Sus scrofa: one gene and its partners. The protein of the gene in region 1 interacts with the protein of each later gene in a pairwise test. Links are inferred from orthologs where the notes say so. Each region holds a gene or a part of one and is shown in the gene's direction. Other genes may lie near its edges.

The links.
Region 2: the proteins of SPERT (region 1) and CNNM3 interact in binary tests that used the Homo sapiens proteins (3 or more experiments, as listed by UniProt). The two-hybrid records come from large-scale screens. The link is inferred for Sus scrofa from reciprocal best matches to the Homo sapiens genes CBY2 and CNNM3.
Region 3: the proteins of SPERT (region 1) and C2H19orf44 interact in binary tests that used the Homo sapiens proteins (3 or more experiments, as listed by UniProt). The two-hybrid records come from large-scale screens. The link is inferred for Sus scrofa from reciprocal best matches to the Homo sapiens genes CBY2 and C19orf44.
Region 4: the proteins of SPERT (region 1) and CCHCR1 interact in binary tests that used the Homo sapiens proteins (3 or more experiments, as listed by UniProt). The two-hybrid records come from large-scale screens. The link is inferred for Sus scrofa from reciprocal best matches to the Homo sapiens genes CBY2 and CCHCR1.
Region 5: the proteins of SPERT (region 1) and PLEKHN1 interact in binary tests that used the Homo sapiens proteins (3 or more experiments, as listed by UniProt). The two-hybrid records come from large-scale screens. The link is inferred for Sus scrofa from reciprocal best matches to the Homo sapiens genes CBY2 and PLEKHN1.
Region 6: the proteins of SPERT (region 1) and SCNM1 interact in binary tests that used the Homo sapiens proteins (3 or more experiments, as listed by UniProt). The two-hybrid records come from large-scale screens. The link is inferred for Sus scrofa from reciprocal best matches to the Homo sapiens genes CBY2 and SCNM1.
Region 7: the proteins of SPERT (region 1) and LMO1 interact in binary tests that used the Homo sapiens proteins (3 or more experiments, as listed by UniProt). The two-hybrid records come from large-scale screens. The link is inferred for Sus scrofa from reciprocal best matches to the Homo sapiens genes CBY2 and LMO1.

The regions. Positions count from the first base shown.
Region 1 is NC_010453.5:21,617,903-21,622,011, reverse strand, and holds the start of SPERT (spermatid-associated protein), read left to right. Parts: upstream 1-1,309; 5' UTR 1,310-1,343; coding exon 1,344-1,397; intron 1,398-4,109.
Region 2 is NC_010445.4:56,809,317-56,813,329, reverse strand, and holds the start of CNNM3 (metal transporter CNNM3), read left to right. Parts: upstream 1-1,213; 5' UTR 1,214-1,585; coding exon 1,586-2,924; intron 2,925-4,013. UniProt on the Homo sapiens protein: Probable metal transporter.
Region 3 is NC_010444.4:61,095,143-61,098,642, reverse strand, and holds part of C2H19orf44 (uncharacterized protein C19orf44 homolog), read left to right. Parts: intron 1-2,692; coding exon 2,693-3,014; intron 3,015-3,500.
Region 4 is NC_010449.5:23,548,110-23,551,609, reverse strand, and holds part of CCHCR1 (coiled-coil alpha-helical rod protein 1), read left to right. Parts: intron 1-175; coding exon 176-339; intron 340-438; coding exon 439-574; intron 575-762; coding exon 763-873; intron 874-1,081; coding exon 1,082-1,231; intron 1,232-1,685; coding exon 1,686-1,796; intron 1,797-1,880; coding exon 1,881-1,987; intron 1,988-3,500. UniProt on the Homo sapiens protein: May be a regulator of keratinocyte proliferation or differentiation.
Region 5 is NC_010448.4:63,333,847-63,336,640, forward strand, and holds the end of PLEKHN1 (pleckstrin homology domain-containing family N member 1), read left to right. Parts: coding exon 1-9; intron 10-146; coding exon 147-296; intron 297-466; coding exon 467-607; intron 608-775; coding exon 776-907; intron 908-1,078; coding exon 1,079-1,288; intron 1,289-1,534; coding exon 1,535-1,583; intron 1,584-1,665; coding exon 1,666-1,781; 3' UTR 1,782-2,294; downstream 2,295-2,794. UniProt on the Homo sapiens protein: Controls the stability of the leptin mRNA harboring an AU-rich element (ARE) in its 3' UTR, in cooperation with the RNA stabilizer ELAVL1.
Region 6 is NC_010446.5:98,079,575-98,083,591, reverse strand, and holds SCNM1 (sodium channel modifier 1), read left to right. Parts: upstream 1-1,217; 5' UTR 1,218-1,336; coding exon 1,337-1,387; intron 1,388-1,654; coding exon 1,655-1,725; intron 1,726-1,965; coding exon 1,966-2,054; intron 2,055-2,151; coding exon 2,152-2,249; intron 2,250-2,357; coding exon 2,358-2,446; intron 2,447-3,110; coding exon 3,111-3,305; intron 3,306-3,553; coding exon 3,554-3,653; 3' UTR 3,654-3,748; downstream 3,749-4,017. Other genes in the region: LYSMD1 (lysM and putative peptidoglycan-binding domain-containing protein 1), read right to left, coding at 266-445. UniProt on the Homo sapiens protein: As a component of the minor spliceosome, involved in the splicing of U12-type introns in pre-mRNAs. Plays a role in the regulation of primary cilia length and Hedgehog signaling.
Region 7 is NC_010451.4:1,048,365-1,052,442, forward strand, and holds the start of LMO1 (rhombotin-1), read left to right. Parts: upstream 1-1,278; 5' UTR 1,279-1,308; coding exon 1,309-1,333; intron 1,334-4,078. UniProt on the Homo sapiens protein: May be involved in gene regulation within neural lineage cells potentially by direct DNA binding or by binding to other transcription factors.

The DNA.
Region 1 (4,109 bases):
GTCTGGGAATCTCCATATGCTGTGGGTGCGGCCCTTAAAAAAAAAAAAAGAATCTTAGAAAAGGTGGTAGGTTTAGGCACCTCCACTCCAAAAACTTTCAGAAGGCTTTGCCATCAACTGTAAAATATCTTATCAGATATCACTTTCACATCCTTTCAGACTCAGATTTTCATAAAGTACATTATTAGCAAGAAGGGATAAGTGAGCAGTAGAAAGTCTTGTTTTCTGGGTGAGCATCTGAGGCCCAGAGAAGGGGCCGGGAAGCAGAAATCCATTTATTTTCTCTTTTCCGCAGCACTCGAGGCCAAATTTTACAAGAAAAAGAGATACCAGATGTGAAAGCCTAGAAATTCCAATCAATGTGGTTCTGCCTCAGGTAGGGATAATCACAGAAGGATGCAACCCTTCAGTTAGCCAGAATAACCCTCCCCTTTCAAAACTCTAGCCTGAGGACATGGAGCAGGCAGAGCCAGCAAGGCCTCCGATTCTAGTTGTAGGGCAGCTGCCAAGCCAGCAGTGTGGCTGGGGGAGGGCACTTAAGCCATTCTGAGTCTTGAATGGGGGGTGGGGAGGGAGCTTGTTAGGTGATCTGATAAGATCTTCCGGCCCTACCCCTTGAAATCTCTGTGACACTCTGAAATAAGCCAGTCTCTCCAAAATTAGATCTTTTGGCGTTGGCTGTTCTGCAACTTCTCTGGATTTCTGGCAGGTCCTGGGAGGTGGCTGGCAGACAATGAGATCTGAGACTTGGAATCAAAAACGCAAGACCTGGAGTTCCCATTGCGGCCCAGCACTAACAAACCCAAGTAGTATCCATGAGGACACGGGTTCGATCCCTGGCCTCATCCAGCGGGTTAAAGATCCGTTGTTGCTGTGAGCACTGGTGTGGGTCGCAGAGGAGGCTCGGATCTTATGTTGCTGTGGCTGTGGTGTAGGCCAGCGGCTACAGCTCCAATTCAACCCCTAGCCTGGGAACCTCCATATGCCGCCGGTGTGGCCATACAAAGAAAAACAAACAAACAAAAAACAAAACCAAAAAACATATGACTTGAACCCATGAGGAGACAACCTAGGACTCAGCCCAAGGGGTGCAGGGTCATCTGGGGGTGTCAGGAGAATTAAGACCTGCTTTTTGCCCAAGACAAGAGTATGGGGGGGCGGGGCTTGCAGGATTCCGAATGGAAGCCCGTGAATGGATGACGGGCTGGAGATTCTCAGCTCTCCGCCTGCTAAGCAGCCGTTTCCCTGGAGGGGTTCTCCTGATTGGATTGTTTCCATGGCTATGTCACAAAGGGGGGGCAGCCTTGCTTCTTCAGAGTCACCTAAGGCCCTGCTGGAAGATCATGGCTGTGCAGCCGGAGGGGCTGAAATGTAGGGCGGAGGAATCCAGCGTAGAGGTAGCCACCCAGAGAGCTCTGTCCAGGGCTGTGTAGGAACAGGACTGACTGCCCCTGGGCATCCTGGCCTTTCGGAGGACGTGAGGCACTGCTGCTGCGCACAAGTCCTGTGTCAGGTTCCGGACCCTCAGCAGGATGCTCCAGGCCGGCAGTCCTGGGTGGGGGAAGGGTGCGTCTCTAAGTTTAGATGAGATGTGGGCGCGTTCAGGTCCGGTTTGTTCAGGGTGGTGTGGCTGTAGTCTGTAAGTTTAGATGATCTGAACTGGGCCACCTCTAGGACTGTGAGGGACCAGTGTGCTGACTCGATCTCCCCAGAGGAGATTGTGCATGGCTGGCGGCGGGGCAAGGACCGATCTGCTTAACACGGCGGGGGTTGGGGGGGGAGAGAGGGAGATGCCCTGAGCACTGATGTGTGATGTGATCACGTGGTGGGCATGGGGCCAAGCAGCGTGAGGGAGACTGTGTAGGAATTGAAACCCAGAAGCCCCACTAGTAAGGCAGGGCTGGAGCTGGAGGCTTGAAACCAGGTCAGTGCCTCTTCCTCTGCTGTGCCCCCGGCTGGGCACAGGCCAGCTGCGTCTTCCCTGGCTTTTAGGACATGGTACCTCCCCTCCCCCCCATCTTTACTGCCTACCCCCGAGCTCCCTGCAGGTCTCTGCCACATTCTGCTTCCTTCTGAGACCAAGTCCATTCGTCGCAGCAGGGAACAGCCACAAGCAGCCCTGAGCCCTGCATTGCCAGAAAGCGCCTCTGGCCTCCTGGCTCCCAAACAAGCCGCCAGGCACGCATCTCAGTTACATTGCAGATGCCTATGGCTCACTGTTTGTTATCACCCTGTGGTCTTTTCAGGTCTTATTGATTTTCAGTTTTTCTTCCTCACATTAGGGACTTGTACTTTCTGAGCTCTTTCCCTCCAGCGCGTTAACCATCAGTGCCCAAGCTCTCTGCCCTCCTGGGTCCTTTTGTACATAACAATTCAGTTCGGGCGGAGGGGGGGGGTCGCAGTTCCCCAGTGAGCGCTCTCTGGGAACTTCCTAAAGGCACTGTTTACTGCCAGACCATTGATGCAGGACCTACACCAGGTCAGGATGCATTCTGACAGCGACCCCCTTCCACTCCTGCCGCCCCCCATCCCTCTCTGTTCCCTTGTCCCAGTCCCCTGGGTTTGGGTTTGTTCTTCAGAAGCTATGGACTCTGCCGACCATGCCTGCACCTCTGCCAGTTTGAATAAGCTTTAGGAAGAAGATGTCAGAAGATTCCGTGTTCAACAATTAGCAAAAATGAGCACAGAGGATGGCAGATGACATCTTTATCCTCTTTGCTGTTAATGTTATGATTCTATCAAGATCAATCACATTGACCTGTGAATTATCCTCTTATCTGCTGGCATTTATGAAAACCAACATTGACTTTCTCATGGCACTCGGGAGCAGAGTTAATTTAAAAATATGATAATGAGGCTCAGGCTTATCACCTGGTCTGAAAATTAGTGGCGTGGCTGGTCTTTCCTTCCAGCATCCTGGGGCCTCTCAGCTTCACACGCCTGAAAGGGAACCTCCGGTGGCTGAATGTTCTGTGATTGTAACCCTCAGTGACGCTGCCAAAGCAGGGCTTTAATGGACTTGGTCGGAGTTCCCAGTGTGGTGCAGGGGAAACAAATCTGACTAGGAACCATGAGGTTGTGGGTTCGATCCCTGGCCTTGCTCAGTGGGTTAAGGATCTGGTGCTGCCGTGAGCTGTGGTGTATGTTGTAGATGGCGTTGCTGTAGCTGTGGTGTAGGCCGGCAGCTACAGCTCTGGTTAGACCCCTAGCCTGGGAACCTCCATATGCCACAGGTGCAGGCCTAAGAAGACAAAACAAAAAAAACAAAACACGAGATGCTGGGGAGAAGGACAGGCCTGATGCTAAGGACAGATCCCCAACCACAGGGGGGATTTAGGCATCTGTGCGGGAGATGTTGGTGCCCAGAGCCCTTCCTGGGCCCTCAGCATGAATGCATCCTACTTATGTCACAGCTGGGAGCACATTGCTCTGAGGCCAACCTGTTTGGTTGCCTGGCTAATAAAGCCTTTGGAAAGAACCCCACAGCTATGAGTCTTCCCCTCCTGCATCCTGCATCCTTCTTTGCATCCCCTTCTTCCACGGGGAATCCCACCTTTTCCTCTCCCACCTCCTGGGTCTGCATCCACATGCCAGGGCACTGCCCACAGATCAGGGAGGAGACCAATCCTTTTCTTCATGGGAAACCTGGCCAGGCTGCTCTGGGCGCTGGGATCACTCTGGAACTTTCCGGGTGTTCCAGGAGCTTTTTATGGGCACGAACCCCTTGTTGTGAAATGTGTGGTCCTAATTCCCAGGACTGGGAACGTCAAAAAAACCTAAGGCATGGGTCACTGTCCCTAGAGAATTATATTTTATTCATCCGGGGAGAAGATGGGATGGGACATAGGAGAACCACTGCAAAGTAATGATAGCAACACACATGCATAATAAAATATCTGGACATTGCGAAGCGCTAGAATGAGCATGCAGTTTGGAGTCAGATATCCTGGTTTTAAACCCTTGCTGGCTGTGTGATCTCAGGTAGAAACACAGTAGCTCCTTTCAGTAAGATATTGCCTATAAATATGGAAATCAATTAGCACACCATCACATAGTAGTCATTCAGTAAGTGTTATTCCCTTTTCCTTGTTCCATACAGTATAAGGAAA
Region 2 (4,013 bases), on another chromosome or scaffold:
TTGTGTTTTCCAAGTGTGATCCAAGTTTTCAAAAGTTTTCTTCTACCGAAAGGTCTTCTTCCCCCCAGAATAAGTTATAGGTTGTTTTCTAAGGGAGCCAGAGACTAAGGGAAAAGTTACTTGTCAAAGGTCAGAGCCCTGTCTAGATGCACTAGGCATTTTCCCCATCTTGCCTCTGGAAGTGTTCTTTGTGAGTTAACTTTTCAGGCACATGACTCACTTCAAGCCTGTCATCCATTCTCACTGTGTCAGCATTTTCTCTGGACTGGGGGACAGAAGTGTGAACCAAAGGGGTTGAGTTTATTTCCTTTTTCCAAAAGAAGTGTGCCAGTCCAGTGGAAAAGCTCAGTAGTATTATTGCTTCTTCTGGCGGCTTATTCTGAAAATTCTCACACAGTATTTCTGTTGGTTTACTCAATTTTGCATATTACCTTCCACACCAACGTTATTTTACTTAATTGCAGCCACAGTGCCTCACTTACTTATATTATTTTCAGAACATAGCAATGTGTTTCTATAGAATCCTCGTAAAGACTATTTAAAATGACATGTATATGGATGGTCTTATCACAGTCTACTGTGTTAGGAAATTTGATAATACAAATGTAAAGAAAATCTCTTAAAAAGCCCTTTTTTCTCCACACCTATAGAGAAGTCTTGTTAGCAGTCTGTATGTTTCCTTCCAACCAGGTCAAGATGACATTATAATGGGCTGAGGAACACTTGTTTGTCTTTAGGAATTATTTTCCCAAGAATGATCTGCTAGAAGTGGGACGACCAGGTACAGTAATTCCTGACAGAGCTGCCATCTCCTAAAGCGGCTAGGATGGTGAACAGGGTACTAGGCTGGTCGCATTGGAGCCCGATATCTGTGCCAAGTCGAGTCCTACTTTTCTCCCGTGCAATATATTAATAACACGAAGTAGCTGCAAGGATCCAAAGAGGTAGTGATTTCGTGTGTTTATCTATTTACTGTCGTTCTTCCTGGCAAGAATGCAAGTTCCTTTTAAAACAGGGGTTGTGTGTCACAACCCAGACCAATAGCAGAGTCGGGAGCAATCACACGTCTTCAATAAACCTTAGCTTCCGAAGCCTAGTCACCAGTTCTTTAAGCCCTCCTTGCCCTTTAGGTCTGTGGTTCACGGGGCGCTTTCTGAGAAAACTGCCCATCTCCCATTCGCTGAAGTCTCTGCCTGCAATTTCAGGAGCGCCACTCCGCTCTGAGGCCCGAATCCTGAGCCAGGCACTTCCCAGAGCCCGGACCGGCCTCCGGGTGCGCGGGGATGGCCGGGGGAAACCAGACGTCCGCTGATGGGGGCCAGCTCTCCGCTCCGCGTCCTCCCGGAGCCGGCCAGCCCCAGCCCAGGGAGCCGCGGTGTAGCCCCGCGGGGCCTAGAGCCCCACGCCCCCGGCCCGCCCCAGGATCGCGCCGCCGCTTGTTTACTCCCCGGCGCAGCCTAGTCCGACCCTGGGGCCCGCCCCCGCCTGCCGCCTATTGGTGGAGGAAGCGCCAGGGCCGGCGATAATTGGCCCGGGGGAGGCGGAGGGGTAGGCTGCGCGGGAGGCCGAGAGGGGGCAGCAGGCGATGGCGGCGGCAACGGCGGGTCGGCTAGGCTGGTTGCTCGCCGCGTTCTGCCTGGGCAACGCCGCCGCGGAGGCGGCTCCGGGTCCTCGAGTGCTGGGCGTCTGTCTGGAAGAGGACGGAGCGGCAGGCACGGGGTGGGCGCGAGGAGAGGAGGTGCGGACTGCTCCGGAGGCCACCTTCCGCTTGCGCCTCTTCGGGTCGGGCTTAGCCAACAGCTCCTGGTCCTGGGTGGCCCCCGAGGGGGCGGGCTGCCCAGAGGGCGGGCCGGTCGCAGCTCCAGACGAGGCAGCGGCCCCCACGGGCGAGTGGCGTGCGCTGCTGCGCCTGCGCGCGGAGGCCGCGCATCCGCACTCCGCGCGGCTGGCAGTGCGTGGGGAGCCGGGCGGCGCGGCGGCCCCCACGGGCGAGTGGCGTGCGCTGCTGCGTCTGCGCTCTGAGTCCGCGCACCCGCACTCGGCGCTGTTAGCCGTGCGTGTAGAGCCGGGCGGCGAGGCGGCCGAGGAGGCGGCCCCGCCCTGGGCAGTGGGTCTGGGGGCGGCGGGGTTGCTGGCGCTGGCGGCTCTGGCGCGGGGCCTGCAGCTGAGCGCCCTGGCGCTGGCGCCGGCCGAAGTGCAGGTGCTGCGCGAGAGCGGCTCGGAGGCGGAGCGTGCGGCGGCGCGGCGTCTGGAGCCCTCAAGACGCTGGGCCGGCTGCGCCCTCGGGGCGCTGCTGCTGCTGGCTAGCCTGGCTCAGGCTGCGCTGGCGGTGCTACTGTACCGCGCGGCTGGCCAGCGCGCCGTGCCCGCCGTGCTGGGCAGCGCGGGGCTCTTGTTCCTGGTGGGCGAGGTGGTGCCGGCTGCCGTGAGCGGGCGCTGGACGTTGGCGCTGGCGCCGCGCGCTCTTATCCTCAGCCGCTTGGCGGTGCTGCTCACTCTGCCCGTGGCGCTCCCGGTGGGCCAGCTGCTGGAACTAGCCGCGCGGCCTGGGCGGCTGCGGGAGCGCGTGCTGGAGCTGGCGCGCGGCGGTGGCGACCCCTACAGCGATCTCAGCAAGGGCGTGCTGCCCTGCCGGACCGTGGAGGACGTGCTCACGCCCCTCGAGGACTGCTTCATGCTGGACGCCAGCACCGTGCTGGACTTCGGCGTCCTGGCCAGCATCATGCAGAGCGGTCACACGCGCATCCCCGTGTATGAGGAGGAGCGCTCCAACATCGTGGACATGCTCTACCTCAAGGACTTGGCCTTCGTGGACCCCGAAGACTGCACGCCACTCAGCACCATCACTCGCTTCTACAATCACCCACTCCACTTCGTCTTCAACGACACCAAGCTGGACGCCGTCCTGGAGGAGTTCAAGCGAGGTAAAGGCCCCGGAATCGCGGAGGGGACTCGAATGTCAGCGCCTTCCCCTAGAAAAGAAGTAAGGGTTCAGGGAAGACTAGAGAAGGTTTCCACCCTTAGTAAGGCTTCTAAGGGTCCTTTTAATGAAGATGATGGCCTTGCAGCTCTGAATGACCCTTTGAAATACCATTTAAAGGCTATCGTTCTGCAACTGACTGTGCTATGAAGCACAACACCCCCCTTTTCCTGGCAGGCCCCCAGTTTGGGGAGGTATGTCCACTTGACTCTGATTCCTAATCTGTTCACCAAATCAAGTTTGTGGGCTTTGGCTTTTGTAGTAGGTCCAAACTCTTGGCTAGAAACATAGAAGAGTATAGTCTCTAGATACCTGGACCGTCTCAAGTCTACTCTTAACTCCAGAGTTCTACACTTTGCTTTTACTCTGGCTCACTCGAAGCTTGCACGTAAAAACTGAGACTCTTCTGGTGTGAAGAGTTGGATTCTTCTGCAGCCTGTACTCTCCATTGTCAGGCTTCGATGTCTTCACCAGAACTTGGCCACTAGCCAGGCCTCTCACACTTGAACTCCTGCAGGCTGGGCATGGGGACAACTCAGGACTCTGGATGAGCTTCACCCTAAAGACTGTATAATTGAGGCAGAGAAGTGAGCAAAGCCCTCTCATCTTCCTGGCAGCTGTGAAGTCCCTGGGCCCTAGGAATCATGGAAGGTACTGTGTGAGCTCCTTGACAGTCAGGGCAGGGAGGTGAGGCTCTGCTGTAGTTACTCCTGCATCAGCACTGCTGCATGCCGGCCACTAGTGGGCGCTCTCGTGCACAATCGCCGTTGATCTTTGCAAGAGGCTTGGGTGTTGAAGTTAGGCAGTTACCGGTATGATTTTATTTCGGGATTGGATGGAAGATTTCGATGGGCAGCTCTGGCTTCTCTCGGTGTTTCTGGCTGCTTTCTCAGAAAATGGCCATGAAGCTCTTCTCGGGAGAGGAGCCCAGGGTAGGGGCCAGACAGAGCTTCCTGGTATTAGGTACTCAATCTCGGAGTAATACTGCAGTCTCTGAAGCAGTGGTGGTTCCCATGGCTGCTGCTGGCCTTGG
Region 3 (3,500 bases), on another chromosome or scaffold:
TTCATTTGTCTACTTATCAATTTATCCATCTATTTATTTATTTATTTATTTATTTAGTCTTTTTGCCTTTTCTAGGGCCGCTCCTGCAACATATGGAGGTTCCCAGGCTAGGGGTCCAATCAGAGCTGTAGCCGCCAGCCTACACCACAGCCACAGCAATGCAGGATCCGAGCTGTGTCTGCAACTTACACCACAGCTCATGGCAACGCCAGATCCTTAACCCACTGAGCAAGGCCAGGGATCGAACCTGCAACCTCATGGTTCCTAGTCGGATTCGTTAACCACTGAGCCACGACAGGAACTCCCTATCTATTTATTTATTTACCACACCTGTGGCATGAGGAAATTCCCCAGCCAGAAATTAAACCCATGCCACAGCAGTGACCTGAGCCACCATAGTGACAATACTGGATCCTAAACCTGCTAGGCCACCAGGGAACTCCTGCTTGTATTTATTTTTAGTAGAAGTTTTGCATTTGTACCTTTATGTCATAGCACTAGAGGTTTTTTTTTGGTTTGTTTTTGTTTTTTTTTTTGGCTATGCCCAAGGCATGTGGAATTCCTGGCCCAGGGATAGAAACCATGCCACAGCAGCGACCCAAGCCACTGCAGTGATATGCCAGATCCTTAACATACTGCACCACAAGGGAACTCCCACTAGAGACTCTGATGGCAGCCATCACTCATAAGCTACTTGAGAAAGTGTTTACAAAGGAAAGGTTGGGTTTCAGCCCATCACAGGTACCCATTCCTGGTCTGTTCTGTAAGGGACGGGATTTGGGACACATTAGACAGTTTTGCAATATGTTGAGCTTATGCTATATACACCACATGACAGCACCAGCAGTGATCACTGCTATTGGTGATCCTCGCCTACTTGTCAGTTGTACCACACAATAATCACTAACTTGGGAAGGCTGCCTTTCCATTTTTTAAAAATTGAGGTGGGAGTTCCCTTGTGGTCTAGTGGTTAGGACTCGGCACTTTCACCACTGTGGTCCGGGTTCAATCCTGGTCTGGGAACTGAGGGCACATATTAAGCCACTGCATGCCATAGCTAAAAAAGAAAAAAAAAAGGTCAAAATTAAAAAATAAATAAATAAAATTGGGGTGAAATAACCTAAAATTGATCTAATAACAATCCAGTGGCATTTAGTGCCTTACACAAACCACCAGCTCTGTCTCGTTCCAAAACAGTATCATCATCCCCAAAGGAAACCCTTACCTAGTATCACTTCTGTTTCTCCCTCCCCTAGAACCTAATAGTCACTATCTCCTTTCTGTCTCTGTGGGTTTGCCTGTTCTAGACATTTCATGTAATGGAATCACATGGAATCAGACAACACCTGGCCTTTTGTGTCTGGTTTCTTCCCCTCAGCATGATTTTTTCGAGGTTCACTCACATTGGAGCGTGTATCAGTGCTTCATTCCTTTTTATGGCTGAATATTATTCCATCGTATGGGTGGACCACATTTGGTTTATCCATTCATCTATTGATAGGCATTTGGGTTGTTTCCACCTTTTGGTGATTGTGACTAGTGTACAAGTATCTGAGTCCCTGTTTTCAGTTCTTTTGGGTCTATACCTAGGAGTGGAATTGCTGCGTCCTATAGTAATTCTATGTGTAACTTGTTGTGGAACAGATGAACTGTTTCCCATCAGCAGTGTATGAGGGCTCCAGTTTCTCTACATTCTCGCCCACATTTGTTTTCCGGGGGGTTTTTTGGTTTTGTTTTTTGTTTTTTGTCATAGCCATCCTATGCGTGTGAAGTGATGGGACGGTTGTAGGTTTTTTTTAATTAATTTATTTATTTTAGTCTATTTAGGGCCATACACATGGCATATGGAAGTTCCCAGGCTAGGGGGAAAATCACAGCTGTAGCCACAGCAAATGGGATCCGATCCTTGTCCGTGACCTACACCACAGCTCGTGGCAATGGTGGATCCTTAACCCACCAAGCAAGGCCAGGGATTGAACCCACATCCTCATGGATACAAATTGGGTTCATTACTGCTGAGCTGCGACATGAACTCCATTGGTCTTGTTTTGTTTTGTTTTTAATCTTTTAAAGATTTCTTTCCTTTTGGCCATGCCCAAAGCATATAGAAGTTATGGGGCCAGGGATTGAACCTGCGCCACAGCAGTGACAACACCAGATCCTGAACCTACTGTGCCACCTGGGAACTCTAGGAAGGTTGCATTCTAAAAGGGAAAAATCTGTATATTGATTTTGACTCTGTTGAAGATCCAGGCAGTCATAGATCACGTACTAAGGGAACCTGGTTTAGAAAATGTGTAATTAACGGTATGTATTTGAAAGCAAAGTGATATTCCTAATTATTTGTGGAGTATGTTTTTTTCTTTTTAATTTTTTTGGCCATGGCATGCAATAACTTGATGTGGGGCCTGGGTTCCCAGACCAGGGATTGAACCCAGCCTGCAGCAGTGAAAGCATAACCACTAGACCACCAGGGAACTCCCTTGTGGAGTATTTCTAATCTCAGTGTTAGCTTGTCTAAATGTTGTACCTTGACTTCCAGAAATGGGGGGAGAGGAGAGATAGGAGCAGAGAAGGATAATTGTTTGATCACCAAGGAGTTAGTCTCATGCTTCCCACCAGCCGTGGTGTCCAATGATAAGGACAGATGTGTCGTACATTTGGTAATTTCACTTAATTTCCTCCAAAGTAGGATCAGACCCCAACTCAACCAAGAGTCCTTTCACTGCCCAGTAAGGACCTTTCCAGTTCAAAGCCATTTTGGACATCACGTGTGCCAACCTCACAGTCAGCCGATGGGATCCTTCGCAGCACTGGCTCAAGAAATTGTTCCCCACAGACTCACATTTCAGATGACACAGCCCCCCACAAAGCATCGATTTCCACTCCCGGCACCTTTCCGAAGTCATTGCCTTCGACAGTCGGGGACGGCAAGCTCTCATCCCCGCCCAGATGGAGTGAGGCTGGGCCTCTGGAGGAGTCTCCCTCAGCAGCTACCGATGACAGCCTAAACGGTAACCCTGGGTAGGAAGGGCAGGTCTGCCTTTAGGGTCCCCAGTGTGGTGTCACAGGGTATTGTCATGAGGAGTACCAGTCACACCCTCGGCTTCCTGATCTTTCCTAGTCAAGGAGCCAAGTCAGATTTTTGTTCTGTCTTTAAGCCTTCATCTGGTAATGTTGCCCAGTGACAGAGCAGAAAAAAAAAAAAAATCCTTCTCAAGACATGTGGATGAGAAAGGCAACTCAGTTTTTCTTGTTGTGAAAAAGGAATTTGCCTCCCTTCCTTTTTTTCTTTTTTTCTTTTTCTTTTTGGTATGCAGAAGCTCCCCAGGCTAGGGATTGAACCTGTGCCATAGCAGCAACCCAAGCCACAACAGCAACAATGCCAGATCCTTAACCCACTGACCCACCAGGGAACTCCTTTCCTTTCCTTTATATTTTAATTAAAAAATTTTTTTTTGTCTTTTTAGGCCTGCACCCACGGCATATGGAGGTTCCCA
Region 4 (3,500 bases), on another chromosome or scaffold:
GGGAGTAAGGCGCTAAGGACGGTCTCCATTCAGTCGTGTGCCGTTGGGTGATTTCTTGGGTCGTCATCCAAGGTCATAGGAAGTGGGGGTGAGGGGCAGGACTGAGGCGGGAGGAGGACTTGGGAAGCCAGCTGTGGGCCAGCAGGCCCTGCTGAGCGCCCCCTTCTCTCCACAGCTCTCCTCCTTGACACAGGCTCACCAGGAGGCTCTTTCCAGTTTGACTCACAAGGCTGGGGGCCTGGAGAAATCTCTGAGTAGTCTGGAAACCAGGAGGTCAGAGGAAGCCAAGGAGCTGGCTGCGGCCCAGAGGGAGGCTGAGCTGCTGCGGCAGCAGTTGAGGTGAGTAGGGAGGTGGCCGAGGGGGTCCAGCAGTTGGTGGGTGGGGTGGGTCTCCAGGGTGCCCCACTGATGGCTACCCTGCTCCCACCCCAACCCTAGCAAGACCCAAGAGGCCTTGGAGGCTCAGGTGACCTTGGCTGAGAACCTAAGGAGATATGTGGGGGAGCAGGTTCCTCCCGAGGTCCACAGCCAGACGTGGGAATCAGAGCGACAGGAGCTTCTAGAAACTGTGCAGGTGAGAGAGTGCTGGGCATGGGGTGGGACATGAGGGCTCAGGTCCTGGGCAAGGGGGCCGCTGGAGCAGAATACAGCCCCCGGGGAGAGAAGGCAGTGCCGTGACCGGGGCCCAGACTGGCCATCCCTGAGGGCTTCTGGGAGCTCCAACAGAGCGGCTGCCCTCCCCCTACCCCCACTCCACTGTAGCAGCTGCAGGAGGACCGGGACGGGCTGCACACCACGGCTGAGCTGCTGCAGGTGCGCGTGCAGAGCCTCACGCACATCCTCTGCATACAGGAGGAGGAGCTGGCCCGCAAGGTAGGCCCCTGGGTGCCTTGCCCTGTCCCCAACCCCAGGCATGGGAGGGGTTGGCGTGCCCCTCCCCGAACCTGCCAGCATCGTCTTCCCCTGAATGCCTTTTCTTGCTGTGGCTGCCAATGGCCTAGGCAGGACAGAAGAAACAAAACCCACCCGCTTCCTCTGCTCCCCAGGAGCCCACACTCCCCGCCACTTCCTCCACCCGCAGGTTCAGCCTTCAGACTGCCTGGAGCCCGAGTTCACCAGGAAGTGCCAGGCCCTGCTGAAGCGCTGGCGGGAGAAGGTGTTCGCCCTCATGGTGCAGCTGAAGGCCCAGGAGCTGGAGCACAGAGGATGCGTGGAGCAGCTGAAGGGACAGGTGGCCTGGTACCCTCTTTCTCCCCGTCTTCTCCCCCAGCTCTTTGTTCCTTAGGGCTGGCATTTATTCAGTAGATACCTACTGAATGCTTCTCACATGCTGGCTGCACCGCCCTGAGCAGAGGCCGACAAGGACCTGCTCTTGTGGGGTTTACTTTTTGTGAGGTGGGCCGGCCTTAGGTGGGATGGTCACCTGAGGAGGCGACAGCATTCAAGGATGGGTGGGCGGCATGAACAGAGGCCATGGGTCCTTGTGGGTGGGTCACAGGGCGCTTCCTCAGGGTGTGGGTATAGGGACCATGTTTCTGGAGGGAAATCCCGACTCAGACTCCAGTCTCAGGAACCCAAGCTTTGTCTCCCTCTGCGGCCTTCTTTCCGAGACCTCTGCCCCTGACCCCTTCCCAGTGTCCCCCCTACAGCTTTTGGGTCTAGACCTGCCTCCTGTCCTCCCCCAGGTGGCAGAGCTCCAGGAAAGAGCTGAAACCCAGGGCCAGGAACGGGCCATCCTGGAGCGCTCCCTGCAAGACAAAGCCGCGGAGGTGGAGGTGGAGCGGATGAGCGCCAAGGTCAGCGTCTGAGACAGGCAGAGGCCAGGGGAGAGCAGGGACACCCCAGGAAGGGGACCCTTCTCTTTACTGCCTCCTTCCTAGGCCCTGCAGATAGAGCTGAGCCGCGCTCAGGAGGCCCGGCGCCGGAGGCAGCAGCAGACGGCCGAGGCGGAGGAGCAGCTGAAGCTTGTGGCCAATGCCGTCAGCAGGTGTCTGGGGTGGAGGGTGGGTAGAGTGGCATTTCTGCTTCCCTGGCTTCCTGGGCGCTTTGGAGTTCAAGAACCTTGGGCAAGAGGGGCCAAAAAGCTGGCCACGTGGAGGATGCAGGGCTGGAGGTATCTAGCCCTGTAAAACCTGGTTTTTTTTTGGTTTTTTTTTGTCTTTTTCTGTCCACACCCACGGCATATGGAGATTCCCAGGCTAGGGGTCCAGGAGGAGCTGTAGCTGCTGGCGTACACCACAGCCACAGCAACTCGGGATCCGAGCCGTGTCTGTGACCTACACCACAGCTGATGGAAATGCCAGATCCTTAACCCACTGAGCGAGGTCAGCGATCGAACCTGCATCTTCATGGATGCTAGTTGGAAGAGTTAGCTGCTAAGCCACAATGGGAACTCCTAAAACCTGTTTGTTTATTCTTAAGGGGTAACCCCATCCCACAGTCACACCAGGGTCACTTGTTATGATTCCCAATCATTGTGTGTTTGACTGGAAGTGAGCTATTACTTCCTCTTACAGTTAGTCATGTAACAGCTTGAACTAAATAGAGCCTAGGAGGCTTCAGAACTGTTCCGGGGTGGGGGGCGTTGGTTGTTTGTTTTTCCAGTTGAAGGTTTAGGAGGTTCCTGACGTTGTGACTCAGGTAACGAACCCAACTAGTATCCATGAGGATGCGGGTTCGATCCCTAACCTTGCTCAGTGAGTCAAGGATCCGGTGTTGCCATGAGCTGTGGTGTAGGTTGCAGACGTGGCTCAGATCTGGCATTGCTGTGGCTGTGGCGAAGGCCAACAGCTGCAGCTCCAATTCGACCCCTAGCCTGGGAACTTCCATATGCCACATGTTTGGCCCTAAAAAAAAACAAAAAAACCACGCCCAACCCAATCTCAGATTGTTGCCAGATTTATTAGTCTCTTGATGGCTTGGAGATGCTATCAGGAAAAGGGTTTCATAAGAGCCACAGTGTATTGGAAGCACCTGCTCAAATAATTTCCAGATAAAAGTGATGTCTGCTGTGCTGCTAGGGATACAACCTCACCCTTTGTCATCTGCTTCTTTTTCTGTTGGCGCAGACTTGCACTCTCCTAGGGAGTTCCAGCCCCACCTAGTGCTGGATGCTAGGGATGCCCTCCTCCCAGGGGCCCTGGTTAGGCTTCTTGATTTTCAAGAGCCACCCAGCTGCTTTGGGTCCAGCCAGCTGATAAAGCACATGGACCTGGCCTTCGCTGGCATCAGGGATTGGTTGGCGAGGATAACTTTGATCTCTGATACATAATAGTGATCAAAAAGCAGATTGTGAGGAGTTCCCTGGTGGCCTAGATGTTGAGGATCTGCGCCTCGTCACTGCCGTGGCTTGAGTTTGATCCCCTCGCCTGGGAACTTCCATGTGCCACTGGCGCGGACAAAAAAGAAAAAGAAGGAGTTCCTGTCGTGGCACAGAGGAAACGAATCCCACTAGGAACCATGAGGTTTCGGGTTCGATCCCTGGCCTCACTCAGTGGGTC
Region 5 (2,794 bases), on another chromosome or scaffold:
CCCACACAGGTGAGGGGTTGGCAGCAGCGGGATGCTGCCCCACAGCTGGGGTCCCGGGCAGTGGTAGAAACAGGAGGATGGGTCTGGGCATGGGTACGTGGGGAGAGGTGCTGTCGGCTCACCCTCACCCACCACCGACTGCCCAGATTGTGGGTGGTGGCCAAGGCTCGCTCTCCTCGGATGGACGGACCAGCTGGGACTCAGGGTGCCTGGCGCCCGCCTCCACCTGCACCAGCCACTCCCTCCCTGAGTCCTTGGTGCCCTCTACCACAGACTGCCCTGCCCAGCTTGCACTGGTGAGTGTCTGGAGGGGAGTGGGCCGTGGAGGGAGAGGGGGAGCCCAACCCAACTAGGATCCTACCTCCTCAGGGGAGGGCACTTGGACTGCAGGGGCTCTGTGTAACCTCAGAGGGCTACGTGGGAGAGGGCCCCAGGGAAACTTTTGGAAATTTCTTGGTCCCCGCAGGAGCAAGCCAACCCTGACGGCACCAGTGTCAGTGGACACAGGGCAAAGCTGAGACGGGGCGGCAGCAGCCGATCACCCAGGAGCAAGGCGAGGGGCGAGGGGCCCAGCCCAGTCACCCCACTGCGCCTGGACCTGACCAAGGTGGGCCCAGCACAATGACCCTGGCTCTGGGCCTGCCTCTCCCTCCTGCCCGTCACCTTCCTGGCCTGTCTCGGTCCCGGAGCTACCCAGAGGCCTACAGCATGGAGCAGGGAGGGCTAGGCCACTTCCAGTTCCAGGAAACCTGTCGCATCTGTCTCTTGCCTGCAGCTAAGCCTGGAGGACAGCCTTGAGGCCCCGGGCCACTCTCTGGAGACACCACACTCCCCACTCTACGCTGATCCCTACACACCACCTGCCACTTCCCACCACAGGATCGCAGATGTCCGGGGCCTGGACAAGGTCAGTCCCCTGCTGGGTGACAGAAAGAGCTGGAAGTGCCCACAGCCGGAGGTTAGGAGGGTGCCTGAAGCCTGAGGTCTGCCCAGGCTGTTGTGAGAGGCTAAGGGGTTTCTGGGGCAGGGGTCCCTCAGCTGCTTGGAGGTCCTAGCCTGAGGTCTTGGTCACTGGCAGTTCCTCAGCGCAGTGCAGAGCTCACTCGGACCTGAGCCCTCGGGCCCATTCCCCGCCGGCCCGGGGTCGGTACCTGTCTCGGACCCCAGCTCTGGATTCTCCAGCCCCCACTCGCTCTCCGAGAAGGGAGCCCTGCAGTCCCGAGCCTCTCAGCGGCATCGTGGCTCCATCAAGGACCGGGGGCCCCGGCTCCCAGGCTCCCCTCAGCATGTGAGTAGCAGCCAGTCCGCCCCGCCCCAGGCAAGGGGTCCTGTTGGGAGAGGACGGAGCATGGAGCCTCCTGGGACCCTGAGGGAGCAGGAAAGATGGAAACGGGGAGAGCAGGTGGGCAGAGACCTATGCGCAGTCGCAAGATGGGGGCACTGGGGAGGAGGAAGGCCAAGGGGAGAAGGTGGGCTGGTCTTCAAGCCCCTTTTCCCAGGGCCCATCTCTGAGACTTGTGCTTGGGGTCCTCAGGTCTCCCCCGCCAGGGAAGCGTCCCCCCCGCCCCTGCCACCGCCCCCAGGTAAGTGAGGGCCCCGCCTCCTCCGGGGAGAGCTCTGGGTGTTGCTCCCTGCAGGCACATGCATCTCTGCCCTCCCCACCAGATGGCCACCCCTTCAGGAGCTACGACAGCATCCAGGACAAGGCCCTGTCACCTTCTCACCAGTGGTGGCCTCGAGGAGCACCTGAGGCTGATGAGGGGCTCGTCCAGTGGATCTGATGGCCCTCGGGTGGCTGCTTCTCAGGACCGCTTATCAGCATTGACTTTGGAGGAGGGTCTGCAGCAGGGCCTGGCTCTTTCTTTGTGAGGCTCAGGCATCCAGTATTGAGCCAGGATCTGGCCCCAGCAGGGTGGAGGGAGTCTCCAGAACCCTGAGCTTCCCTGAGCCCTGGAGGAGCCAGGAGGGCCCCATCCTCAGGACGCCTTGGCCAAGGTGACTGGATGCCCAGGGTGCCGTCCTCGGCCTGCCTCCCTGGGGAGGAAAGAGTGAGGGGACTTGGGTTAGGGGCTTTCACCTGGGAGAGGGAGGATGGCACAGGTGTAGCGGTCAGAGAACCAGGAAAGTCAGCTTAGAGAGGGTCCGCGTATGGGAGGTCAGAGGGCACGAGGGCCAGCAAGGTCTGAGACTAGGAGGGCAGAGGGAGGAAGGTTCTCTGGGAGCGTGGGAGTGGAATGGGTTCACCGGGAGAAACTGACAAGAGACCAAACAAGAAAGAAAGAGATTTTATTGGCGCCATGTGTCCACGTGTTCTGTCCTCAGCAGCCAGGAGTCTCCTGCGTCCTGGGGACCCTGTACGCCATGCTGCTTCGGGGCTGGATGCCCACCTAGCACCCAGCCTGGCAGACCCCCGTGCTCTACCACCACCAGCACACCACCCACTTTCCTGTCCCATCTCCAGCTCCTCTCAGACTTGGGACAATCCCAGGTTGTCCAGTCCCTCCCCCGATGCCATTGTCTTCTGCCTCAGCACTTGCTCAAGGGTTCCCTGGAGGAAGGACTCCAGGCTCTGCCCTACAGACCCCCACCCCACAGGGCACCTTAGGTACCTGCTCACCATCTTGGGCAGGAACCAAGGAGGCTTGACTGTACACCCCTGGGGTTCAAGGGTCAAGGCAGCCTCAGAGGCCTCCACTGGCCCAGCCCACTTACAAACAGGGCAGAGTCCCTGGGACATGGCCTCCTAGTCTCAAGGCCACCCAGCCTCCCTACCTTTGCCCCCTGCTCAGACCTC
Region 6 (4,017 bases), on another chromosome or scaffold:
CAGATGCGCTAATGGATGTAAAGTCTTTAGTATAGTGACTGGTATAATAAATAAGAGCTGCTCACCTCCACCGGGATATTGAGACAGGATTTGTCTCAACCAGACAGTGCAACACGAGATGGGACCCTTGTCAATTAATTTATCACAATTAACTAATTTAGACACAATTAGGAAAATTTCAGGTGAAGTTGCCCAGAGGGCCACTATATCCTCATGAGGAATAAATCTTTTCTGAGTGTCTGCGTCCCAATCCTGGAAGACTCACCGTCACCCCGTATTTGAGTGCTAGTCCAGCCAGGGTGTCTCCGGGCGCCAACTGATGCTCCAGGCGTCTTTCCCTCACCGGGGAGCAGGCAGACTGCACAAGGCTTCCATAAGAACGAGCCCGGCTCCCTTGAAGCAGTCCTGACCCCCCGAGGGGGGCCTGTCTAGAGGGAGAGGCCATCTCCTCACCCTGCGGACAACTGGAGTTGCAACTGCGGGAGGCCCGGCCAAGTGACCGATAGTGACAGGCCCGGGGTCTGGGAATGAAAATCTGGAGGATTCCTTTCCCTTTCTGTGTTCTCTCCTAAGTCTCTCCGCCTTCCCCCCACTAGGCGACCTCTGACTCCTGGCTTCCCCGCCTTCCAAGGCCTTTTCCCACAAACCTGTAACCTGACTGTTCAGTCCCTACCTGAGTTTCTCCTTAGTACCCCTCCGACTTTCGATCCCCCACAACTCGCGACATTGACCTCTGACCTTTGACCACTAGACACCCTCCTCTACACTACAGAGTTTGCCCCCAGGTCGGTCCGCCAGACCTCCCAGCCCCCAACCCCGATTCCGCGCGTCCCGGGCTTGGTCGCTAGGGTCGGGAACTAATCAGGCCCACTCCAGGTGGGCTGTGGCCTCAGGCGAAGGGCGTGATGACCGCGAGAATCTGTAGCACACTTTCCCCTGAGAGATCCTCAAAGGTACGCTCCGCATCAAATCAGTCACACTCTCAAACTCGGGATCCACAGCTAGGTTCCTCTTTCTCCAAACGCCTCTAATCTGCCAAGATGCAAGGGCCTGAATCGGGCAGGGCGGCAAGCTCTTTGAAAAAAGACTTCATTTCCCAAAAGGCTCCGCGCCGGCGGGGTCGCAGAGCACCATAGGAAATGCAGTCCCCTCTATGGGCTAGAGGCGGGTTTTCGGGATCGCGCGGCGCATGCGTGGAAGCGCATCCCGGAAGTAAGGGGGCCAACCGGAAAGAGACAGGAAAGAAAGGAGACGTCCCACTCTTGCTACGGTGGCCTGAAAGGAGTGGCGAACGCGGCGCGATAAAACTTATATTTCTGGGGCTCTCACAGTCGTGATGTCTTTCAAGAGGGAAGGGGACGATTGGAGTCAACTCAATGTGCTCAAAGTAAGCGCGAGAGGAGAGCATCTGGAGCAGCTTCAGTTGCCGTCTGAAGGCTGTGAGGGAGCTGTTTTGTTGCTGTGGCAACAACTCGGGGGAGGGGGGCGGAGGAAGCCAGACGATTGGAACTGGGCCGACACCCCTTCTTCAGCCCAGATCTCTACCCTTCTTGTGGCCTTTATTCCCTTTGAGTCCTCGTCCTTGTCATTTCCTTTTTGTTCCTCCCTCATATCCAGCTGACCCCGTCCTCATTTCTTCCCTTGTTCCCTGCAGAAACGGAGAGTCGGGGACCTGCTGGCGAGTTACATCCCAGAGGATGAGGCGTTGATGCTACGGGATGGACGGTGAGGACTAGGAGTGGATCAAGCCTGGGGGTTCTGCGGTTAGAGGCTCAACAAACTTTTGTTATTAAGCAGATTGGAAAGAACAAGGAATCTTTGGCGGGGAGTGAGTAACAGGGATGTTGGTGGTGGAGACTGGGAGACTTGGGATTTGGGCTTTGGAAAGGAGTTCTAGGCTGTGGTGGAACCTATGGCAGAGACTCCACTCCCCAGGAACCAATTATCTTCTCTCCTCCTCTCTAGCTTTGCTTGTGCCATCTGTCCTCACCGACCGGTACTGGACACCCTGGCCATGTTGACTGCCCACCGTGCAGGCAAGAAACATCTGTCCAGTAAGTTTGTGGGAAGACAGAGCATAGAGAATAAACCCTTAAAGGGTTTATTCACTCTGGGTGCCCTCCTTTTAATTCTCTTTCCCTTTCTCCTGAGGCCTGCAGCTTTTCTATGGCAAGAAGCACCCAGGAAAGGGCCTGGAGCCAAATCCAAGACAACAGAATGAATTGAGGAGAGAAGAGACCAAAGCAGAGGTAATCAGAGAGGGGAGGGTGTGTTCCAGGCTGCACACCTTAGGCTTGAAGGCTCTGGATTCTTTCTAGCTCTGAAGGTTCTGACTTTGTCTCCCATCTCCATGCCAGGCTCCTCTGTTAACCCAGACTCGACTTATTACCCAGAGTGCTCTGCACAGAGCTCCTCACTATAACAGTTGCTGCCGCCGAAAGAACAGGTCTGTGGGGTGGGTAATCCAGAAGTAGGGAGGAACAGGAGATCGATCGCTCTAAAGTACTGTTTTCCAAATTGGATTCTGAGGAATACTAGTGTTCTGGAAATGCTAACTTGAATTTCAGGAAAAAAGAATTTTGTTTGGGAAATAGGATTTTGTAATCCTGTTTGACGCATAGTAATATTACGAGTTCCCATCATGGCTCAGCGGTGAACAAACCCGACCAGCATCCATGAAGATGAGGGTTTGATCCCTGGCCTTGCTTGGTGGGTTAAGGATCCAGTGTTGCTGTGAGCTGTGGTGTAGGTTGCAGACACAGCTCGGATCCCATGTTACTGTGGCTGTGGTAAGGGCTGGCAGCTGTAGCTTGCATTCACCCCTAGCCTGGGAGCCTCCATATGCCACAGTGCAGCGCTAAAAAGACCAAAAAAAAGAATAGTAACAGTATATTTTCAGGGTTCTACACAGTCTTAAAAAAAAAAAAGCTGAAAAAACTAACTTAGGCTTTCCTTAAGTTCATTTGATTCCAAAATCCTTTTTATGCAGAACACCTGTTAATATCTTGAGGAATACAGTTTAGGAAGCACTGCTTTAAGGGGTTGGGAGTTACAGGAGATTTGGTCCTTTCCTTTACTGCTTTTACAGACTTTGATTCTTCTCTACCCAGACCAGAAGCCCCTCGTCCCTCTGTCTCTCGTTCCGCTTTTTCACCCCCAGAGGTTGAATCCCAAAGTGAGAGGATCAGTAGGGAACTTGAGCCTGCGGCTGCATCACAAACCAAGGAATCAGCCACTGTCTCATCCCCTGCACCTATGAGCCCCACAAGAAGACGGGCTCTGGATCATTATCTCACCCTTCGAAGGTGAGTGTACGGAATCACTTTCCTCAGATTGTCCCTTTTCTCTCTGGCTCTCCTTTTTTCAAACCTCAAATATTACTTATCCCTACTAGCTTTTGGGGGGGGCGGGAGGCCATGCCCACAGCATGCAGAAGTGTGCCACAGCAGTGACAATGCAGATCTATAAACTACCGAGCTACCAGGGAACTCCGCTACTAAATTCTTAACACATTTCCTTTCCTGATCGATTCTGTTTGTTCTGATATTTCCAGTTCTGGATGGATCCCAGATGGACAAGGTCGATGGATAAAAGATGAGAATGTTGAGTTTGATTCTGATGAAGAGGAACCCCCTGATCTCCCCTTGGACTGACACTCTTTCCCCATTCAGTTCACAAATAAACTATAGTGGGCGCTGGGAGCCTGACTTTCCTTGAGTCTGGTTCCTTGTCTCATTTCAGGATTTCAGGTCTGTTCGTTCTCAGCCTGGCCAATATTTCCCTGCAATGTACACAGCTCCCCATACTTCTAGCCCCTCCCCCCACTTCTACCAAAGTCATGCCAAGCGTCAGCTGCATGCAGCCCGGTGCCCTAAAATAAGTCTGTCAGAAGGAGGTCTTTGCCCTTCATGTTGTCTGACTTCTTCCCCACCTCCACTCAGAGTCTTTTCCTCCTTCAAATGACATGAAGTTTTTGGGTAGGCACTGGGTGGGGTGGGGGTGGGAGCTGGACAGGTC
Region 7 (4,078 bases), on another chromosome or scaffold:
CATCTGGAGCCTTCCTTGGTCTGGAGAAAAGCCAGTAAGAGTTCCCTCCCATCCCGGAACTCTGTACTGTCCAGAAGAAAAGAAGCTCCTGCCACTGGAGAGTGGCCCGTGGAGTAGGCAGCCTGGCCCCCGCCCCAGGGCTCTCGGGGAGAAGCGGGGGTCAGGAGGAGAGGCGGTGAACCCTGTTCCCTCCCTGCCTCCTGAGGCACAGAGCAAGAATTGTCGGCTCCGCAATGAGCAGGAGTCTGTTTTCACTGCTGTATCCGCAGTGCCTTAGAGTAGAGCTTGGCGCATAATACATGCTCAGTGAAGAGTTGTGGAGTGAAGAGAAGCCCTCAGAGCCCTGCTGTGCCTGCTCCGAGAGAAGCTGAGGCAGGATCCCACCGTCTGTGGAATGAGGATGCTCTTCTTGGGAGGGGCGCGGGGGGAGGGGCGGTGCTGTGAGGCTGCGGGGGGGGGGGATGTGCGCCCTGCAGAGGGTTAACTTTGCCAAGCAATCCAGGAGCACCCAGAAATCCCAGGCAGAGGAGGCAGAAAGGGAGGGTACAAGGTCAGAGAACAGGCTCCCGCTGCGGGCGGGGCAGAAGTCAAGGCTGAGGGGCTGGGTACGACAGACAGGGGCTGAGGACCCGGGGTGCAGAGCGGAGCCCCGCGCCGATTTGGGGCCGAGGGGCCTCCAGGTGGCGCTGCGGAGCCGGGCAGCCGCGCGTCTCCACTCCCCATTAACCCGGCAGGGAGGGGGCCTCGGGAAATGTGTGCATTTATTCAGTAGCTGGAGTGCAAACCTCATACATTGAGGGAGAAAGGCAGCGGGAGACGGCCGCCGAGATTCCCCCATCTCTTTGAATATAATTTTAGATTGAGATTCAGATTAAATCCGAGGGGAAAACACTTTATGAGGCTGAAAGCTGTGTCGTTGCCAGAGCCAGGGTTATGAGCTATCAAATGCAATTACATTAAGACAGATTATACTGGGCAAATTGAGCCATTTAGAAGGTGAGAATCAAAGAAACGGCTCTGATCCTCTCCCCCCCCTCTCTCCCTCTCCCTCTCTCTCTCTAAATTGCAGTTCGCAGTTCCTTGCAATTCTGAGGCACAAAAGTAGGTGAGACTGCTTTTGTATCCGCGAAGTGCTTCACTCCTGAATGTAATTCTAGCTGAGTGCAATCTAGGTTAAGAGCCGGACAAGCGGGTAATTAGAGCCCGCTCGCCGCCCGCCCGAGGACCGGCCGCCCCGCCGAAGCGCGCCCGGCGTCGGCGCCCTTCTCCCGGCCGAGCCGAGCCGCGGCTGGACACGGAGCGCCCGAGATGATGGTGCTGGACAAGGAGGACGGTAGGTGGCGGGCGGGGGTCGCGACGCCGCCCCCGCTCCACGGCGCGCGGGGGGCGGGGGGGACACACGCCGGGACCCAGGCGCGCACCCGCCGGCCCTGCCGAGCCTGCCGGGCTGGCGGTCGGCGGGGGGCCGGGGCCGGGGCCGGGGGGCGAGGGGAGGGCCGAGGGGGACTGGGCGGGGAGGCGACGGAGCCCCGGGCTGCGCGCCCCGGGGCCGGGCTGGGCCGGGCCGCAGGCGGGCGAGCCGCGCGCCGGCCGTGTGATGCTCCGCGGGGCCGCGAGGAGGCTCCGGCGCCTCGGATCTCGGCGCAGTGGGGCTTCGCGTGGAGCGGTTGGTCTTGGCGGCTGCGCCTCTCGCCGCAGCCATCAGCCTCGCGCCGGCCGGGTAACCCGAGAGGCGCTGAGCGCCGAGCAAATCGGTGGCTTCAGGAGGACCGGACTCCAGAGCTCGCGGCGAGCTGGTGCGCGGAAGCACGGCGCCCGCCGGGGGTGCCGGGCAGGGAGGGGCAGGCGGGCCGGCCCCCAGGGGAGGCGGCCGCCCGAAAGCTAGGAGAGAAGAGGGGACGCTTCCTGGGCTGCCCACTGCCCCCTGCCTCCTGAGCGCGGAGGCGGGAGTTTGGCCCGGGGGAAGGAAGTGCCCTGCCGCTGGCAGTAGCCCGCGCGCAGCAGCAGCGTGGACCTGACCCGGTCAAGAGCCTCGCTGCGCCTGAGAGGTCACAACAGAGGGGCCCGCGGTGGCTGGAAGCCACTAGCAGGTGGTCCCGCTCACCCCAAAGCCTTCCTGACTGCAGTGTTGTGCAGCAGTTGGCCTGGTACGTCTGGCAGGAGCTGCTGGGGACCCAGCTCCCTTGAGGGGACAACCAGTGGGTGCCTGTGACTCAGGGGCAGCCCCCCCACCCCGGGTCAGGAGAGGGGCCGTTTCCTGGCTGTCCCAGGCCCTCCCGCTCTGCAGGTGCGGATCTCTGGTTTGTCGGTGTTGTTGGGAGATAGGCGGTACCTGTTAGGACCCCCGCGCACTACCTGTGAGCTGCTGGTGAGAAACCGAGATGGGTCCTCTGGGCGTCAGCGGGATCCTCTTAGAGTGACGTGGTGGTGGCCGTGGTGGCCGTCTTCTGACCCCTGCTAGTGCGTCGTAGCGGTCTGGGCCCTCTGCCTTCCAGATCAAGGTGTTCCTGACATGGGCGTTTGGTGGAAATCTAAAGTTAAGTGACTTGCTTAAGGTCACACAGGATGTTCCCTTTGCTGCCACCACGTGCTGATGCCCCCAGCCTCTGTGCCACCTTCTAAGACCTCCAACGGGGAGGGCCTGGGGGTGGCATGGGGGTTTGCCCTGTGGCCGGTGGGCCCGTCTCTTGGCACGTGTGTAGAAAGAGAGGGCATGGGAGCTCATGCTTCTGGTCGGCAGAGGCCCCCTGCCGAGGGCTGGCGGGGGCGTGACGGCCGTCTCCCGGCTTCTTGTCTGTCTTCGCGGACCCTCTCCTGGGCCCCAGGGGCTGTCAGAGGGCAGGGCTGGGGCAGCTGAGTGTAGATCAGAAGGAGAAGCGGTCTGTGGCCAGGTGGGACCAGGAGGACTGGCTCCTTTCTCTGCTCGCCCTGGGTCACAGCGGCCCCGCCATGCCCTGCTCTGGACCTCACCTTCCCTGCTGGCAAAGGAGAAGCTGGCACGGGGGTCCTTCCTTGGTGTCTGGGGCTGCTCTTGTCGGGGGAGCCTGTGGAAATCAGGGGTGTCTTTAGTAAGGATGTTTGAGGGGCTTGGCTCCCCAGGCCTGTACCTGGGCACCTCCGCAGGGAGTCTGGTCTCCAGCTGGCGGGGCCAACCCGGCCCCTGCCACCTCGGGTCTCGGAGCTCAGGCTCTGTGCGGGCGCCCCCGAGTGCCGCGGGCTCTGTGAGGCTAAAGGTTTGCGGAGGAGCCCGGGTGGGGGTGGCCCTCCGGAGGTCATTTCAGCCAGTCTCCCGCCTCCGGGGTCAGAGCAAGACAACCGCTCTGGGCATAGGCGTTTCCCCAGCTGTCACCAGCCCCATGGTCCCCACCCTGGCCAGTCTCAGCAGTGTGGTGACCAGTACTGCTGACGTCACTGAGCTCTGGGGCCCGTCACAACCCAAGGAAGGGGCTGGCCAGGGCCCTGAGGAGCCGCTTGGTCCGTGTCCTGCCCAGCTGTCTTCCACGAGCAGCCTCTCTGCTCACTGGAGTCTCGCACCTCCTGGTTCCAGGAAACCTTGAAGGTGGCCCCTTCCGTGGGCTCTGGATCCACTTACCCCCCCCACCAGACCTGCTGCCTAATTCCTTCCTCGTACTTACACCCACCCAGCAGGGGGCGGTCTGGGCCGGGTGGCAGCACCGGTCCCCAGGCCCCCCAGGGAGTGTGTCCCACGGAGCGGTGGACGGCACCCAGGCTCCTGTTAGCCACCCCCACGCCTCTCCCCCAGCTGACGGCGTCTCGTTGGAAGAGGACAGGGCTCCTTTGGCTGAAGCCAGGTCCGCCAGCTGCCAAGGACCAAAGCTCTGGCTCTGCTGGGCTGCCGGGCTTTCATGTGGCACTTCTGAAAGATAATAAAATATCAATCGCTTTGCCGTAGCAACGGGTTTAAGAGACTTTCTGAAGTATTGAATCGTCAGAAAAAAAAATTTTTTTTTTTTTTTTTTGCTTTTAAGCACAGTGCATTATTAATAAAGTAATCCATTAGGTCGAGCACTGAAGGGCCACCACAGAGAGGAAAGATCTGTTTTGCAAACGGTTAAAC